Linked DNA regions of Struthio camelus. The protein of the gene in region 1 purifies or fractionates together with the protein of each later gene. This does not show direct contact. Links are inferred from orthologs where the notes say so. Each region holds a gene or a part of one and is shown in the gene's direction. Other genes may lie near its edges. The genes, in order: RAPGEF2 and MAGI1.

Evidence for each region.
Region 2: the proteins of RAPGEF2 (region 1) and MAGI1 purify together in Homo sapiens (co-immunoprecipitation; 3 studies listed by BioGRID and IntAct, with this or other methods). This does not show direct contact. The link is inferred for Struthio camelus from reciprocal best matches to the Homo sapiens genes RAPGEF2 and MAGI1.

Annotation. Positions count from the first base shown.
Region 1 is NC_090945.1:41,241,738-41,245,638, forward strand, and holds the start of RAPGEF2 (rap guanine nucleotide exchange factor 2), read left to right. Parts: upstream 1-1,244; 5' UTR 1,245-1,315; coding exon 1,316-1,384; intron 1,385-3,901. UniProt on the Homo sapiens protein: Functions as a guanine nucleotide exchange factor (GEF), which activates Rap and Ras family of small GTPases by exchanging bound GDP for free GTP in a cAMP-dependent manner.
Region 2 is NC_090955.1:13,480,533-13,484,433, reverse strand, and holds the start of MAGI1 (membrane-associated guanylate kinase, WW and PDZ domain-containing protein 1), read left to right. Parts: upstream 1-1,056; 5' UTR 1,057-1,350; coding exon 1,351-1,639; intron 1,640-3,901. UniProt on the Homo sapiens protein: Plays a role in coupling actin fibers to cell junctions in endothelial cells, via its interaction with AMOTL2 and CDH5. May regulate acid-induced ASIC3 currents by modulating its expression at the cell surface.

The DNA of each region.
Region 1 (3,901 bases):
AGCCTGTCTGGGCTGAAACGCGGAAAACCACCCAGAAGCTCTCGGAGCATGCCTGAAAAAGCAGCCAGAAAACAGGCTGGGGCGGGGGGTGGGGGGAGGCAAAAAGCTCCTGGGATCACTGTGTCGGTACTCTTCCTAAGGCAAATGCACGGAAAAATGCTGGGTAGCAGAGTGCTAGCTGAGAGAAAAATTAAAAAACAAACAAAAACAAAAAAGACTGGGTGCCCTGAGTGAAGGAAGGCTGCCTCGTCTGCGGAGGAGGGATTTTATAGGCGTACCTAAACAGGATCGCATCAACGGTGCAAACAGCAACTACTATCCTCAGTTTCTTGTCCCAAAGGAAAGAGCAGATACGGCGAATCAAAGGGAGGCAGCAGGAGCCAAGCCGGGGCGGCAGGTACACCCTCCGCCTCCGCCTCGCCCAGCCGAGCAGGCGCGCGTCAAACACCATCCAGGTGCTACCCCCCCCCCCCCCCTTGTTCAGAGGGCAGCTTTCCAGCGGGGATAAAGGAAAAGTGACAATTTTCTATTATATCAACTGCAACTAAAGCCTGGGAGAGAGGGGGGAGGAAAAAAAAAAAACCAAAAGAAAGGAAAAAAGCAAACCAAACCAGACATGCAAGCGCGGCCGAGTGCCTATTTCGGAAGCAAACGCAGAGCAAAAACTCCGGACAAAGCCCGTTGTCGGCGGGGGGGGGGGGGGGGGGGGCAGCCCCGGCCGCGCAGGGCGGCGGCGGCGGCGGCGGCGGGGAGCCCCGGGCTGGGGCGGGGAGGGGGGGGCGGCCCGCCGCGGTCCCCCGGCCCGCCCCCGGCCCGCCCCGCCGCCGCCGCCGCCCCGCCCCGCCGCGCCGCGCCAGCAACTTCCCCGTGGCCGAGGCGGGCGCGGAGCCCCCACAGCAGCCCCGGATGGGAGGCGGCGGCGGCGGCAGCGGCGCCGCCGGGGGGGATGCGGCGGAGCGGGACGGCGGGAGGCGCAGAGCCGGCTAGAGCGGGAGCGCGGAGCCGCCGCCGCCGCCGCTGCCGCCGCCAGGCGCCCCCCGCGGCGGGCGCCCCCGCGCCGTTGTCGCCGCTGCCGGCGGGGCTGGGGTTGGGGCTGGGGCTCGGCCGCCGCTGAGGCCTCCTCCGGGCGGCGGCGCTGCGGAGCCCGCGGCGCCGCGCCGCCCTCGGTGTCCCCGCGCGGAGCGGAGCGCAGCGCAGCGCCCCGGCGGCGGCGGCAGCAGCGGGAGCAGCAGCGGGAGCAGCAGCGCCAGGCCGCGGCCGGCCCTCCCGCCCCGCCGGGCAGCGGCGGCGGGCGGCGGGCACCGGGCGGGGCGCGATGGCGTCCTACGTGGATAACAGCTTCCGCCAGGCGGTGATGAAGAACCCGGCGGAGAGGAGCCCCCAGGTAGGCGCCCCCGGCCCCCGCCGCCGAGGGGGCGCCGCGGGGCCGGTGCCGGCCGCGGGGCTCGTCCTCCCCCGAGACACGAGCCGGCGGGGAGGGAAGGGGGGCGCTTTCCTCCGCGCCCCCGACCTGGGGCGGAGGGGGGAGCGTGTTTGTGGGGCCGGGGGGGGGCGGGGGACGACGGTCGCGGGTCTGCTGTTGAACATTGCTTCCGGGTAAAACAAAACAGAAAATAGGTGCGCGCACGTTGTGTTCTCCGAGTTTTCTGCGCGGCGCGCTGTGCAGCCGGGGCGCCGCTGCGCTCGGCAGCGTTGCGGGCGCGCGGGGCGGCGGCCGCTCGGCGGGGCAGGGCGCGACCCCCGCGCAGCGGCACCGGCGTGGGGCTGCGCTGCTGCCCCTGCCGCCCGCCCTCTCGGGATACGCGAAGGAGCTGGGGAAGGTGTTTGCTGCCCTAAGCTTAACCGCGCTTGCAGAGCCTTAAAAGAGGTTAAATGAGGGGCTGGGGCGCAAGCGGACGCGTAGACGCGTTTTGACTTAACATGACCTGAAAAACAGCTAAAGTGAACGAGTGCCTTCTGCTCCAGAGCGGTTACTGCAGTGGCGACTGCTGCCAGCTGTCTAAAGACTAATAAGCTTTACGCTGATCCCCACATCAAGCTGCAGTTCGATAGCTAATGATACAAGGAGTTACTTCGCTTGGAGTTGTAGCACCATCTGTCCTGTTTTCCCAAGGCTTGTTCTCCTCCCTGAGAACTTGGTGTGTTCTGATTTTTAGGAAGAGATGTTATTACTGATTATTTTGCCCAGCTTCTGATTGGCTGGTGACGTTTTCAAATTGGGGGCAAAGAGAAAACCTTGACTTTCAGTCTGCACCCATAAGTCATTCCTCCTACTGTAGATACGTCATTGTGGTAAAGTTATTTTTATCCAGATGCTCATGGAATATGTGTGAGAAAATAAAAGCGCCTATGGAAAAAAATATACTGGCTGCATAGGCATTACATTTAGTATGTGTTTTGTCCATATTTTCCTCCCCACCCACCCCCCTTTTTTTTCTTTTTTAAAGTTATTCTGGAATGTATTTTTGCGGTGCTGAAGCTGTTTCTCTGTCCTTGTCTGACCTTTGCTTTCCAAATGTCTGTTTGCCTTCAGTGTTAGAACCAGCCTTTTGGTATGTTGTGAAAGGCAGAGGAGCCTGACTGCTCTCTCTTGGGAAAGACGCCGCTTGCGAACTTGCAGCGAGACTCCTTTTGCTGGCAGAGGCGTTCGTTCCCGCGAGGGGACTGCGGCGGCGGTGTCCGACCTGGGGAGGTGGGCAGTTGTCTGACCGGAGGAGACTGGTGATTGCTCAGAAACCAGGCGCTCGGGTAGCGCCTGGGCCGTCAGACTGGGCCTGGGGAGGCAAAACTTCCCCGGGGGCAGGCCGAGCGCGCTGGCAAACTTTGTTGTGTCCTTGCCAGTTGGGGGGGGGGGGGGAGAGGGAGAGAAGTGAGGCGGTGGAGAAATTAGCTTGAATGCAGGGATAAAGCCAGTGTGAAGGGCATGGAGCAGGGAGCTAAATCGGGAACGCCAGGGCTGCATTAATGCTGTAAAACTTCAAGAATCAGCAGACTGAGAGCCTGCTGTGGCCGTCTCCTCGGGAAAAGAAACCCACCCTCAAAGCCATGAAGCTGACACCGACCAGAACAGTCCACAAATAAGACCGAATTTGTGGGAAACATAATGTGTTATTAGCACTGGAAATACTTGAAACTGGTGGTCAGATGTGCCCTCCTGTTGCTCCTGATGAGAGCAGGGCCTAAAGAAGGAAAATTCCCTTTCCGTTTTCATGAGTGTCTCATCTGAATGGAGCGGGTTGAGGAGGGGTTTTTATTAATCTTTGTTTTCCTTTCTGGGAATTATTTCAGTTTTATCTTACGACAGTGTTGGAATTTGAAAAAAAAAAAAAAAAAGTGGTTGGGCATGGTATCTTTCTAATGCAGCTATCAAGGACAATTTTCCAAACCTTTCTTTATATAAAGACACAAAGACTTTTTTTTCCTCCTCCCTTAAAGTAACTCTTAACTATCTCTGTTTTCCTTTCCTTGTACTTAAGCCATGTTATCTTGTAAAGGTAGCTTTTCATTTTTGTTTTTTGAGAAATCACTAGGTATCTTTAGGTTGAGGAAAGAGGAAATATATTTATCATATTCATGTCAGGGCAGGAAAGAGTAGGAGAGAGCTTATTTGCTTTAACAAACTGTTCTGTGGCTCAGCTTCTCCCATCTCATGAGGGTGTAAATATGTGTTTGACATTACTATTTTGCCCTAGATTGTCATGGTGCAAATTTAGCAAAATGACTTCACTGCAGGCTCAGCTGGGAGCAGTGAAATGACTGTAGGATAGCAAGCTCTTATTTGCGCAGTTTTGATAACAGCTAAGTGTGATAAAAATTGTTGAAAGAAGCAAATTTAACTTTGCACGAGCTTCTTCCATAGTGCAAAATTCTCTCTGTAATTTTGGACTAGACTGATGATTTT
Region 2 (3,901 bases), on another chromosome or scaffold:
GCATAAGACTGCTCAGAATGAGGCCTGGCTTTCAGGTTTTGGAAGCAGGGAGCATGACCTGGAAGAGCCAGCTGGTGCAAGCACACTTACTTATTTTCTGTTTGAGTTTTGCATTAAAGTTCTAGGCAACTTTGAAGAGTTGTGGCCAAGGGCAAATAAATTGATGCATGTCTTCTCCACCGCAAGGACCTCAGTATAGGTCTGTCCCAGTTCGACATAATTATACTGGGGAAATAAGTAAGGATATTATTAAAACGCATGCACCTCAGAAATTGAAAAGTGGAGAACTAAAGATCTGTGTTGGCTTTAATTCAGCCTTGCACAAGCGCTTTGATACCACTTTTAATTATAGACTTGTGTAAGGTTTTCCTCAGGACTTCTGCCTCATTTTGTCCCATCCTCTAACGACCCCCTACTGCAAGTGCAGGTGAGCAGTGATTTTTAGAGGTTTGCAACTTGGCCAGCTCTGGAAACGCTCCCAGGAGAGTGAAGGAGCCCTCTCCTCCCCCTTGCCAATCTTCCCCGAAACATGAGCTGCTCCGTGAGATTACAGAGGCTGAACTTCTCAATGGGCTTTCAGGAACTCTCAGTGAAGCAGGGGGCGTGCGAGGGGGGAAGCATACTCGCAACTGAGCCCGTCCTTAGCAAGGAATTGTTCCTGCTGACATTTTAAAAACAGAATCAATCCAAGGTGCGCGCTTGGCGCCGCTCCTTTTTGGGGAGGAGGAAAAAAAAAGAAAAGAAAAAAGTTGTCTGCGAGTGCAAGCAGGGCCTTTAAAACCGGGAAGAGTGAGACAACCTGAACTACGGCCCTCGCGGCCGGGGCCGGGGCCGGGGCCGGGGCCGGGGCCGGGGCGGGCCGGGGAGGAGTGTGCGGAAGGCGCCTGCGCCGGCGGCCCCGAGCGCGGTGCAGCGGGGTAAAGCGAAATGTAACAAAACAACCGGAGTCTTTGTATCGCCTTAAAGGCGCCGCGCAGCGCCCGCGCAGAGGAGGCGGGCAAGGGTGGTGGCGAGGGGGGGACAACAGCAAACAAAACAAAAGCGAGGGGTAGGAGGAGCCAGCGGAGGGCGGATTTATTGAGTTAGTTTTTTTTTCTTTTTTTTTAACACGAGGGGAAAAAAAAAAAAAAGGAAAAGGGACTAGGGGGCAGGCGAAGGCAGGCGCGCGCCCTCCGCGGGCGCGGAGCCATGCGGGCCGCGCGCGGCCGGAGCGGGGCGCGGCGCGGGCGGTGATGGCTTGAGCGGCGGCGGGGCACGGCGCGGCACGGCGCGGTCTATGAGCCAGCGGCTGGGCGCCCCGCTGCGCACCTGCTTACCGTGCGCCGGGGCCGGCGGAGGGCCGCGCTCAGCATGTCGCGAGTCGTCCAGAAGAAGAACCACTGGGCCAGCCGGGTGCGGCAGTGCTCGCTGAGCCGCGGGCCCGGCGGGCAGCTGGGCTTCGCCCTGCTCGGCGGCGCGGAGCACGGCGAGTTCCCCTACGCGGGCGCGGTGGCGGCGGGGGGCGGCGAGGCGGCGCTGAGCGAGGGCGAGCTGCTGCTGGAGGTGCAGGGGGTCCGCGTCTCGGGGCTGCCGCGCTACGACGTGCTGGAAGTGATCCGCAGCTGCAAGGACCCCATCGCCGTCAAAGCCGTCAGACAAGGTGCGAGGGGGGCACCGGGGGGCACCGGGCGGCGGGGGGGGGGGGAAGGGGGGGCTGCCGCGGCTCGGCTCGGCTCGACTCGGCCCGCGCTCCGCCGCGGCCAACTTTGTTCTTGGCCAGGAAGTTTTGGGTACCGAGGCGAGGGGCGAGCATTAGGGCGACCGCGAAAGGGGAGCGCCCCTGGGTGCTGCTTGTGTCGGTGGTGTGCAAGCGTCTGGGTACGTGCACACTGCGGTAGTGTGCGAGGGGGTGTGTGTGTGTGTATATATGCACGCACATATATAGTGTGTGTGTGTGTATATAAATATATATATATATACACACATGTACTTGCATACAGTCACGTTATCGTACCGAATCAGCCTGCAGTTTCCTGGCCTGCAGCGAGCAATGCCGTGAGACTTTCTCCAAAGCGCGCGGGAGCCTCCAGCCCGCGGTCCTGCGATGCCGAGCGGAAGCGGCCGAGGCCGGGGGCTCGCTCCGTGGGGCGAGCGAGGCACGTCCGTGCCCGGCCCGGACCCGCAGGGCTGTGCGGGAGGATGCTGCTCCCCCGGCAGCGGCTGCATGCGACGTGTGTTGGCTCACGTGGAGCGCGGTTGCGGGCTGGCGGCCGCATCGCCGCGGGGGGACGGGCAGAGCGGCCACCAGTGCCCGTGGGATGCTTCTCTGAAGTCGGGCTGAAAGTTGGCTTGGGCTGGCTCTTCCGTAGGTGAGGACACATCTGGGCTCTCACCCCGCAGAGCGGCGGCGGGAGGAGGTGGATTGCTTTCGGATTTAGCTGTAGAAAAGGATAGGAAGAGCCTTCCCATGTGAGTTTTTTTTTTTTTTTTTTTAAGTCCCACTTCATGCCTGTGTACAGGCAGCAGTTGTTTAACAGGTTAGCATAAGAGGCCTGGCTGATAGGTTTGTAGTTTCCAGGGCAGGACTTGCATTTAGTGCCAGGAAACTGTTACTGTTGCGACAGCTGCTGAGGTTATTTGGCTGGGCAGGATAAACAGGAATGTGCTGCAACACCTGTAGGTGCGGGTGGCGGAGCAGCGCACCCCAGGGTCATCGATAACTGCAGGAAGGAAGCGAAGTTTTCCTAGGAGCGTTTGGGAGGTTCTTTAGGAGAGAGTTTATTATTATCCAGACACATACACATCCCAAACTACAGGGCATGTTTTCAACCTGGTCAGTTGCTGGAGATGCAGCAGCTAAAAGATCTTTTAACTTTGTTGATAGGCCCTTGTTGTTATGGTAGGTTGGCAGGAGGGTCCTCTGAAGCCTTGTCCGCCAGCCTGATTTACGAGCTGCTCTGGATGCACTTGTTTCACGGCCGTTGCTCAAACTCCCACCGTTGGAGTAAATCACCGCGATGGTGTGTCCTGCTCGGCATGGCACTTGTGCCCTGTAATCCTGCTCTGCCCTCTGCTTTCTTCTTCCAGGGATGATAGCAGCTCAGAATTGCCCCAAATCTTATATATCAAAATTACTGTTAGTGTTAAGTGTTGAAACCCTAAGTTGGCAGAAATATTCCAACAAGCAGTGCTGGACGCCAATGAAAACTGTTTTCTTTAAGCAAATGCCTATTTTCCCTGCTGCATTTTCTCTGCTACACTGGAAACCGGGGAGTGAAACTGATTTGCTGATTTTCATTGCCCGGGAGGGGAGCGAGAGAGTAAAATAAAGAGAAGTATGAGGAAATTATGCAGATTTTTACATGCTGATTGTTTTAGCAGAAGGGTTAGCGTGCAGCTTCTGTTGATGCAATGGGATCAGTGTTGTGGGCAAAGGAAAGTGGGTAAGAGACGAGCAATTTGTGATTAAACTTTTTTTTTTGTTGAAAACTTTACTTAGTCCAAATGGAAACTCGTCATGGGACTATACCAGAAATGACAGAATTTAGAGGTGAATATGTCTCGGCTCTAGGATGCAGTGTCTGGTCAAAATGAGTCAGAGAGCTGTTTTTTTCTCATAGTAGCTGGGTTCACCTGGGACTTGGGAGAAAAAGGTTCAAAGCCCTGCCTGGAGCCAGGGCAGGAACTTGAACCTTGGACCTTCCTCCTCCCGGAGTGAGAACCAAGCCCCTGGCTATTATGAGATCATATTTTCCTTTTTTTTTTTTTTTTAAATGCTTTATTAGAGTGGAATATATAATAGGATTTTTTTTTTAATCACTGAATATTTTTGTGGTTTAGAAAGCCATTCCTTGTGCCTCTCCTAATGATAGCGTAGCATCTGCATGGTGTTCTGCACGGAGTGGGGAACTCCCTCGTGGAT